Saccharomyces cerevisiae S288C: one gene and its partner. The protein of the gene in region 1 purifies or fractionates together with the protein of each later gene. This does not show direct contact. Each region holds a gene or a part of one and is shown in the gene's direction. Other genes may lie near its edges. The genes, in order: MDM30 and FZO1.

What was found.
Region 2: the proteins of MDM30 (region 1) and FZO1 purify together in Saccharomyces cerevisiae (affinity purification with western blotting; 5 studies listed by BioGRID, with this or other methods). This does not show direct contact.

Annotation. Positions count from the first base shown.
Region 1 is NC_001144.5:855,573-859,836, forward strand, and holds MDM30 (SCF ubiquitin ligase complex subunit MDM30), read left to right. Parts: upstream 1-1,967; coding exon 1,968-3,764; downstream 3,765-4,264. Other genes in the region: 40S ribosomal protein uS8 RPS22B, read left to right, coding at 870-1,002, 1,486-1,745; Hsp70 family ATPase SSQ1, read left to right, coding at 3,980-4,264. UniProt on the Saccharomyces cerevisiae protein: Substrate recognition component of a SCF (SKP1-CUL1-F-box protein) E3 ubiquitin-protein ligase complex which mediates the ubiquitination and subsequent proteasomal degradation of target proteins. Probably recognizes and binds to phosphorylated target proteins.
Region 2 is NC_001134.8:585,879-591,147, reverse strand, and holds FZO1 (mitofusin), read left to right. Parts: upstream 1-2,033; coding exon 2,034-4,601; downstream 4,602-5,269. Other genes in the region: DTR1 (Dtr1p), read right to left, coding at 1-1,407; EHT1 (medium-chain fatty acid ethyl ester synthase/esterase), read left to right, coding at 4,986-5,269. UniProt on the Saccharomyces cerevisiae protein: Essential transmembrane GTPase, which mediates mitochondrial fusion.

The DNA of each region.
Region 1 (4,264 bases):
AGAAGTGCCAGTAAGACGACACCCTATTTTTCAAGTCCAGCATTGGAAGACTTCCAATGAACACTCTTATCATTATTCTTTATGCATTACGTTTCGCAGTAATCCTAGAACCCTAACTTTTTCTAAAATTACCGTCAAAAATGACGGACGCAACTTTTCTCAGAAATTTTTTTTTTCATTTCTCTTAAAAAGTTTTCTACGCTGGATAAATTGTTCTCTTCCCTTTGAAATATGGAGACGTTCAAAGTCAATTTCCACACATTTAAGGTGAACAAATAAATTATAAGATACCACATTAACAACAAGTATGTGGACGAGGTGTGGTAAGATCTCCGCTGAGGTTGATTGAAAAGTATTGGGTAAATTTGTACTTTTTGTCTGCTGCTGGTCGTTTGTCTTTCGTTTTAAAATTGCGCTAGACAAGTAAACAGGGATTGCTTAAGAATCAAAGTAGCTTAACTCTAAAGTATTATTTTCCTCAGTTGTGGGCCCATGTGTTGGAGGGAAGGAATATATTGAAATGTAAATGTTCTTAAGTTCGGTTGAACTTGGATATTGTTACAAGAGTTCTAGTCTTTGATACCATTTTTACGCAATTACAACCGCATTATTTACCTTTTCATCTTCAGTTTTACGGTTCAGTTTATTCTGTTACGAAAGAACTATGGTGATTCAAAGGCGAAGTGCGTAGGATTGTAACTCCTATATCTTTAGGATACTTACAATTTTGTACTGTTTTCAAGACCACTGTAACCGATAATAAACCGGAGGACACATTTTAACCCACTATTTTTTTCAGAAGATCAGATGCGAGAGCTCGAAGCATAAGTATAATACTAACGTTTCAAAACATAGTAATTAGGTAAAAAATGACTCGCTCTTCCGTTTTAGCTGATGCTTTGAATGCCATTAATAACGCCGAAAAGACCGGTAAACGTCAGGTTCTATTGAGACCTTCTTCCAAGGTTATCATCAAGTTTTTACAAGTTATGCAAAAGCATGGTATGTTCCAACTATTTTTCAATATTTTCACATGTGTTTCAATTTCTGCTTATTTTTAAATGTTACCACGAGGTTTGTCCAAGTTCAATGTTGCGCAACTCTAACGAAGAAATAATTATTGCCATTGTTTTTTACTCCGGGCTGATAACTAGATGGTGTGATCGGGCAGTATACTAATTTATACTGGACAAAGACTCGTAAAAGATGTTCTTTGTGCTTAGTCCCATACTGTTTTTTAAGTGTCCGGGATATTTAATCCCATGTGGAAATGCTTCTTACACGGTTATGGATTACACCTCATGTGTAGCTACTATATCCATTACCGTTTACTTTTCCTCAAAATCTCACTCTTAAAATTTTCAATGGCAAAATTCTTCCGCACAACTTAGACAACATTTTCTTGTTTTTTATGAAGTAAGCAAAAATTTCGAATCAACAACGCTCCATGAGATTCTTCAATACTAACATTTACTCCTTATTTAGGTTACATTGGCGAATTCGAATACATTGACGACCACAGATCTGGTAAGATTGTCGTCCAACTGAACGGTAGATTGAACAAATGTGGTGTTATTTCCCCAAGATTTAACGTTAAGATTGGTGACATTGAAAAATGGACCGCCAACTTATTGCCAGCCAGACAATTCGGTTACGTTATTTTGACTACTTCTGCGGGTATTATGGACCATGAGGAAGCTAGAAGAAAGCACGTTTCCGGTAAAATCTTGGGTTTTGTCTATTAAGTAAGTTTTTAGTAGTGGTACATATATAATATTAATTCTTATATCCGTCTTTTCTCTTTGGTTATTTTCTCAGCTTCAGATATTCAAGGAACCGTATTTTTGCGTAATAGCGAAAAATTGTTTATGTTACATAATAAGTGAAAGCTGGAGGAGCATATGTATAGAATCGAAGAGAAACCTGAACAATTTTTCGGTATTAGTTACTAAAAGGCTCACATATACATGACAAAGAGGAGAAACCTCTTTATGGTTGGTTCTTCCTTCACAATAGATCATTTACCTCCAGAAATATGGCTTTGTATTTCTAAGCTGGTCGGGACGTCTGACCTGCATAACTTGTGTTTAATTAACAGAAGATTGTATTTGACAATTACAAGTGATGAAATTTGGAAAAGAAGATGCTATGACCGATGGATAAATCGAGAAAGCTTAGATATTTTAACTGGTAATGATTACGATTCTATACCCGTCTCTCAATGGTATTCTTACTATTTAAGAAGAGCAAAATGGGAGAATAAAATTTTTTGTCTATTATGGGGGTTAACTGAAGAAACAAATCCCCAACATTTCAGAGAGAAATATTTGCATATCCTCCAATTTAGACATTACAAACTGGCTACATTTCTGCATAGGATTATAAAACAAGGCTACATACCTGATAAAAGACCACTTGATTTAATCACGTATGCAAACTATCTGTTGAAAAATGTGCGACATAAGTACGTATTTCCTTTATTTTATCCCACAAATGCCGCTGAATTGAAAAATCTTAATAATATGGCCTCAAGGGATGCTGAAATGATATATTTAAGATTATCTGCCATTGATACGTCTTTTGATGACTTACTAGATGCTAGAGAATTCATATTAAATGGAATATGTTCCGATCTACTACAAAAGTATAAAAAAATTGAAGAGTTTTTGAAATTACGACCGGTGACTAGGGTTTCCAAGTTAATCTCAATCAGTACTGACTATCTGGACTGCTTCACACAACCTCATGATTCAGTGGGTCAAACAAATGATAGGGCCACAGGAAGGGAGCTACATAGAGAGGATTTCATGTTACTAAGAGTATATTCCCGAGAAGGACGAGGTTATAAAACTATCATTCTAGCAATAATACAGGCTATCACTAAGAGATATAACGTTGATTCATATCTTGCTCGAGATCATTTGGTGGTGTCTGAACCAGACTTTCCAGATGGACGGGCATTTGTTACCGTGAATGAGGATTTCCAGCCATACATTTTTGATAAAGAGGACCTTTTGAGCGTTTGGTCGAACAACTTCCATAACGCAGAAAATTTTGAAAGTACAGTTTTACCAGCATTATTAGAACCAATATCGATACAACATCTTCTGACGGAGTTCTTTCGAGAACTGCTGCGATGCAAGCCCAGGCCATTTGAGGGATATCCAAACAGAGCACACGGATTACGCGATATGTTTCCATACGGAAAAGTGGAAGTTCCCAGAGATGTGACGATGTATTTTGCATTTATATACGATCTTTTCGATGGCATGTTTGAATCTGGAATGACAAGTTTACGGGGCCAGATGTTGAGAGATTTACTGAACTACGTTAACGCTAATAATTTTGGTGATTTGAATATCATCATTGGACAAAATGCTCTTAAGGAACCAAATGACTGCTGGTCCAACAAGAGGGATTACGTTCTTCTTGATGACAATAATAAGATTGGATATTTCTATACGGATATTGAAACTGAGGATACTTTATGTGCCTTAAACCAATATGAAGTGGACGGCAAAGTTTTTATAACAACAATAGATATCTTGGGTGATATAAGAGTACGCCTGGCTGAAGGACTAACGCCTTTTCAGGGAGATAATGATAAGTTGTGGGAGAGCTTTTCTTCCGTTGTTCCACGAACTGACTGGGGACTTTTTTTCAAAGGCTATGACAAAGAAAGGCGTAGAATGCAATTAAACCCTTACATAGAGGAAAAGCTTTCCAATCTAGCGAATGATGAACAGCCTTTACATAATTTATAGTCATATTTAAGGAGGTTTCCAAAAGTAGCATCCTGACACATTCTATTACACCTTTTTTTATCAGCCCGAGCGGCCTTTCCTTAACGGTGTATACATTTTCTAACAGTATTAAGTCAAAAACAGCAGCATCAAAAGTACGACTACTTTTACAAGATTTCTTTAGATATTTACTTCACATAGAAGAAGAAAATCAACGGAATAAAAATCCAAAAATCATGCTTAAATCTGGTAGACTCAACTTTCTCAAGTTGAATATCAATTCACGATTACTATACTCAACGAACCCTCAACTGACTAAGAAGGTCATTGGTATCGACCTGGGTACCACGAATAGTGCTGTTGCATATATCCGTGATTCTAACGACAAAAAATCAGCTACAATCATAGAAAATGATGAAGGACAACGAACCACACCATCTATAGTTGCCTTTGATGTCAAAAGCTCGCCACAGAATAAAGATCAAATGAAAACTCTTGTAGGGATGGCAGCTAAAAGGCAA
Region 2 (5,269 bases), on another chromosome or scaffold:
GATTGCCCATCCGTATCCTATTGTGCCACATATTGTTAGTAAAATTCCAATTAGGTTCAGTAATAAACGAAACTCTGCCGGGAATTTCTTTTTAGGATGACTTTTGATCCAGCGTGAACGAAGATAATCTGAGAGGTGCCCACCAGATTGAGATCCTAGTAACATAGCTACACCTGGGCAGACATAAGCAGCACCAATTTCTAACATAGTAAAACGGTAGTCATGTTCAAGGTAATACGAAAACGTGACGCTGAACGCATAGTAACTGGAGAACAGGAGTGCAGTACTGACGGACGTGATTATTATTGGAGGACATTTAATCATTTTCCAATATAGTGTCAAACCTGCTTTAGGCGGCTTTGGAAAATTTTCTTGGAAGAAAGCATCATTATTGACTGGTTTACGGATACCAATGTCTGGGAACAGACGCCGATGTGATATTTTATTACCTTCGAAGAATGGAGATTCGTTATTTTCACGTTCATCTTTTTTGTCACCCCATTTAGGGTCTCCATTACCAACTATACAACGTAGCGTTTCTGGAAGTAAAGCAGTAACCAAGATCAATGCTATTCCTGTCATGATAGAAGTGAAACCAAAAAGCCATCTCCAGTAATTTCCTTTCATTAAAATAAGCCCAGCAACAATGGGTGCTATAATAGGACCCATGTTTGGACCCATCATGAAATACGCTATGGCCTTTCCCCTGTGTTTTGGAGGAACAACGTCTGTTACAGTGCCAGCTCCCAGAGAAATCACAGAGCTGGAAGCGAAAGCTTGGAAAATTCTTAAAACAAAAAGGGCAGCAATATTGACTGGTACAGCGGCCAAAAGTATATTAACAATTAACATTAGTGATAACGACACCATATATAAGAATTTCCTTCCACCAAAATCCGCCAGTGCGCCCCAAAACAATGGACCAACGGAAAAAACAGCCATAAATACAGAAACTGTAGCGTTTATTGTTGTTGCACTTACATCATATTCCCTTTGCAGCAATGGTAAAGCCGGTATATATATGTTTCCAGACATTGGGCCCAAAAATCCTATAAAAATGATAATTCCAAAAATGATTAGTCTTTGATCCTTGGAAAAATAAGTATATGGAATATGTGCTTGAGTATCAGGAGAAGGGTCTCTTGACTGGGAGTTCGATGACTTTACAGCAACTTCCTCTTCTTTTGTTTTTGCTTTCTGTGCTGACAATGATGGGGAAGAGTCAGGGTGCTCATGAAAGACATCATGATCTATATTGGCTCTCTTTTGGTTCACCTGATCCCAGCTTTCATTAATTACATCATCTCCTAGATCTTCTAGCGAATGAAATGTTGAGCGGGTTGTTCCACTTTCTTGCGAATTAATTTGCAGACCCAAATTCTTTTTCTGAAACGGTTCGCTTCCCATTGCCTTAATTCTTTTCCCAGCTCTTGAAACTCTTTTTTGAAAAATTACCAACAACAACTTTTCTTACTACCATCCTTCTAGCCTTATCAATATTCTCATATATCTTAAAATTGCAATTGTTGTTACAAAGGAGTTTGTGTCGTTTTTCACCAGGTGACAGAATGTCTGGGTTGAAAGTATCAATGAAAAAAAAAAATGTAGAGAGATGCCAAAACAGTGGCCAACAGGCAGCTTTGGCTACGGAAATGATTTGGAAACCTGCATAAGTATTTCTCCGCGAAATTGGGAAGAGTGATATGGATAGTTGTGATCCACGGTATATAATTCCTTGTGATCCCTTATCTGGCAAGATAGCTATAGTATTACTAATACGTGGCGCTAGTATAATAACTCGCGCAAAGACCGAACGGAGATTAATATTTAAAAGTTGGTGCGCAGTCCGGGTAAATACAGCTTTTCATGCTGAAGAATATGGCCGGGCTAATATTAATTAAGACGGACGATGCATTATTGAAACAGGATAACGCAGGTTACAGTAGCCCTTAATAAATAAAGCAAAGTACATCCGAACATAGCAACATTATCTGATATCACGGATAGAGGCAAAACGGTAGGCTCATTTAACGATGTCTGAAGGAAAACAACAATTCAAAGACAGCAATAAACCGCACAAGGACTCCACAGATCAGGACGATGATGCCGCCACAATAGTACCACAAACTCTTACTTACTCACGCAACGAAGGTCATTTTTTAGGCAGTAATTTCCATGGAGTAACTGATGACCGTACCACTTTGTTTGATGGTGAAGAGGGGCGTAGGGAGGATGATTTGTTGCCCTCATTGCGTTCCTCCAACTCAAAAGCACACTTAATTTCTTCACAACTTAGCCAGTGGAATTATAACAACAATAGAGTACTTTTAAAAAGATCTATATTAAAGACACAAGCTTTTATGGATCAACTTCAAGAAGAAAATAATATTCGCCCGATTTTTATTGCTGCAAATGATGAACGGGAAAAATTACATGTTCTACAACTGAATATCAAGCTAGATGGTCAGTACAATACCAAAGAAAAGAACGGTTTCAACATTGAGAAAAAAGCTTTATCAAAATTATTTCACTCTCAGATCGTATCAGTGACAAATCATTTAAACGCTTTGAAAAAAAGAGTGGATGACGTTTCATCTAAAGTATTCATCACAGGTGATGTAAATACTGGTAAATCAGCTCTTTGCAACTCTCTATTAAAGCAGCGTTTGCTACCTGAGGATCAGCTACCATGTACCAATGTATTTTCCGAAATACTAGAGGCTCGGGAAAATGACGGCATAGAGGAGGTTCATGCCATACCACTAAACATTGCTCCGACTCTCAAGGAAGCCATTGATATGTATTCAATACAAAATCCCAAGACTTATGAAATACACACTTTGAAAGAACTTCCCGATTTGGTTCCCCAAAACGGAAAATATGCTTTACTGAAGATTTACATAAAGGACGATAAAAGGCCTGCCTCTACTAGTCTATTAAGGAATGGTACTGTTGATATTTCATTAATTGACTCCCCTGGGTTGAACATGGACTCGTTACAAACCGCCGAAGTAATGTCCCGACAAGAAGAAATCGACTTAGTTATATTTGTTGTCAATGCAGAGAACCAGCTAACACTATCTGCCAAGGAGTTTATTTCTTTAGCATCTCGTGAGAAAAAATTAATGTTTTTTGTTGTGAAAAAATTTGACAAAATCAGGGACAAACAACGTTGTAAGGAGTTGATCCTAAAGCAAATCCGTGACCTGTCCCCAGAAACATATAAACGTGCAGCTGATTTTGTCCACTTTGTTTCCAAAAACGGAGATGAATTGCCACATTATCATAATGAAAATGACAATGAAGATCATGGTGACCGAAAACCTGACGACGACCCATATTCTAGCAGCGATCCCGATCCGGATTTTGACAGTCTGGAAGATTCTCTACGCAATTTTGTTTTGAAGAAAAGATCACTTTCTAAATTGTTACCTGCCAAGACTTATCTATCGAAATTATTAAGCGATATAATAATGATCTCCAAATCTAATATGAAAATGTATAGTGAAGAAGAAATAAAAATTAACGAACAACTGGAAACATTGAGACCTGAAATTTTGAGCGCTAGAGCAAAGTGCAATGATTTAACAACTTCCGTTGATCAAATGGCCGAGCAAACAATTACAATGACTTATAACAATACTAAAGAAGCACTTCTCAATGCGTTGGATGTTCCGCTACACGAATATCCGAAATATCAGGGCCTCGGTCAAATTTATGACTTCATATTTTCAACAGAAGCGTTCATAGCAAATCAGATTGATGAGTCAATAGGATCAAGTGAATTATTTGCCAAGCAAAAGACAGATTTACTGGTAAAAAAAATTTATGAGATTGGAAAAAATGAACTTGGTGATGATTTCATGTGTGAACGTGTTTTCAGAAGCGAACTAATGTTTAGAAAAAGGAAGCATTTGATAGGAAAAAGGCTTAAAGTATCTTTGTCAATAACTGATTTGTTTGCTCCAACTTGGAAAGGCTTTTTGTCTTACTTAAGCTGGCAGAAACCTGTCACAGCACCACTGCCGGATATAGAAGGACAAACTAACGAGGGTCAGATTGGCCTAATGAAGTATTTGGGTTTGAAAAATTATCCTTTGACACAATATTGGTCAAGACCATCATTGCTCTTCACATCAAAAATTCCCACTCTAACGCTGTACTTTCTAGGAAGTACAAAGGTTGTGGGGAACATTATATTAAACGGCATTAAATTATCGTCGTGGAGCTCACTCAAGAAGTTATCAGTTCCGGTTATAGTGGTAGGTTCCTTGTTGGGACTTACGTATTTAATTCATGACCTCCCCCGTGCCTTACCAATGAATCTTTCCATTAAATACAAAAGAAAGTTGCAAGAACTGGATTACATTCATCTTAACGCTCAAAGAACCTCAAATGAAGTACGTGATGTTTTGCGTGTACCTACACGTGAAATTCTAAGGTCGTGTGAAATAATTATGGATAAAAAACAAATCACTAAGAAAGAATTGGAAAACAAAAAAGAAAGTAACTTGTTGTCAATCAAATTCTTCCAATCTCTATACGAAGGAACCGTGGCTCAAAAATTGATGGTGGAAGAAATAAATTTAGACATCGATTAGATATTCTTGTAAATATATGAGGTCTTTTCAAATCAATATACATAATGTTACTTATTATTTTATTCCAAGCAGGTCCATTTTTTTTTTCACTTTGCACGAAATTACATAAACATTAAAAGGACCCTTGTGTATCTGCTTAATGATTTGCAAAACCTGCGGAAACGGAACGAAAAATGAGCAATCTCGTTCCGGTTCCGAGATCCTTTTTTTTTTTTAAATCTTGCGCATGTGCAGATTTTAAAAGGCGTCAGATATCGGATGTCCCTGGAAGTAATAGCTCCTCGAGTATTTCCTCCGTTTATTATTAATATGAGCAGTTTTTTAAGTTCTATTATTACATTGATAGTAGTTGCGTAAAAAACAAAGCTCATAAAAGTTTCCGATATGTCAGAAGTTTCCAAATGGCCAGCAATCAACCCATTCCATTGGGGATACAATGGTACAGTTTCGCATATTGTCGGTGAAAATGGTTCCATTAAACTCCATTTAAAAGACAACAAGGAGCAAGTTGATTTTGACGAGTTCGCTAACAAATATGTCCCAACGTTGAAGAATGGTGCCCAATTCAAATTGAGTCCTTACTTGTTCACAGGTATTTTGCAAACTTTGTACTTAGGTGCTGCTGATTTCTCTAAGAAATTTCCTGTATTCTACGGCAGGGAAATTGT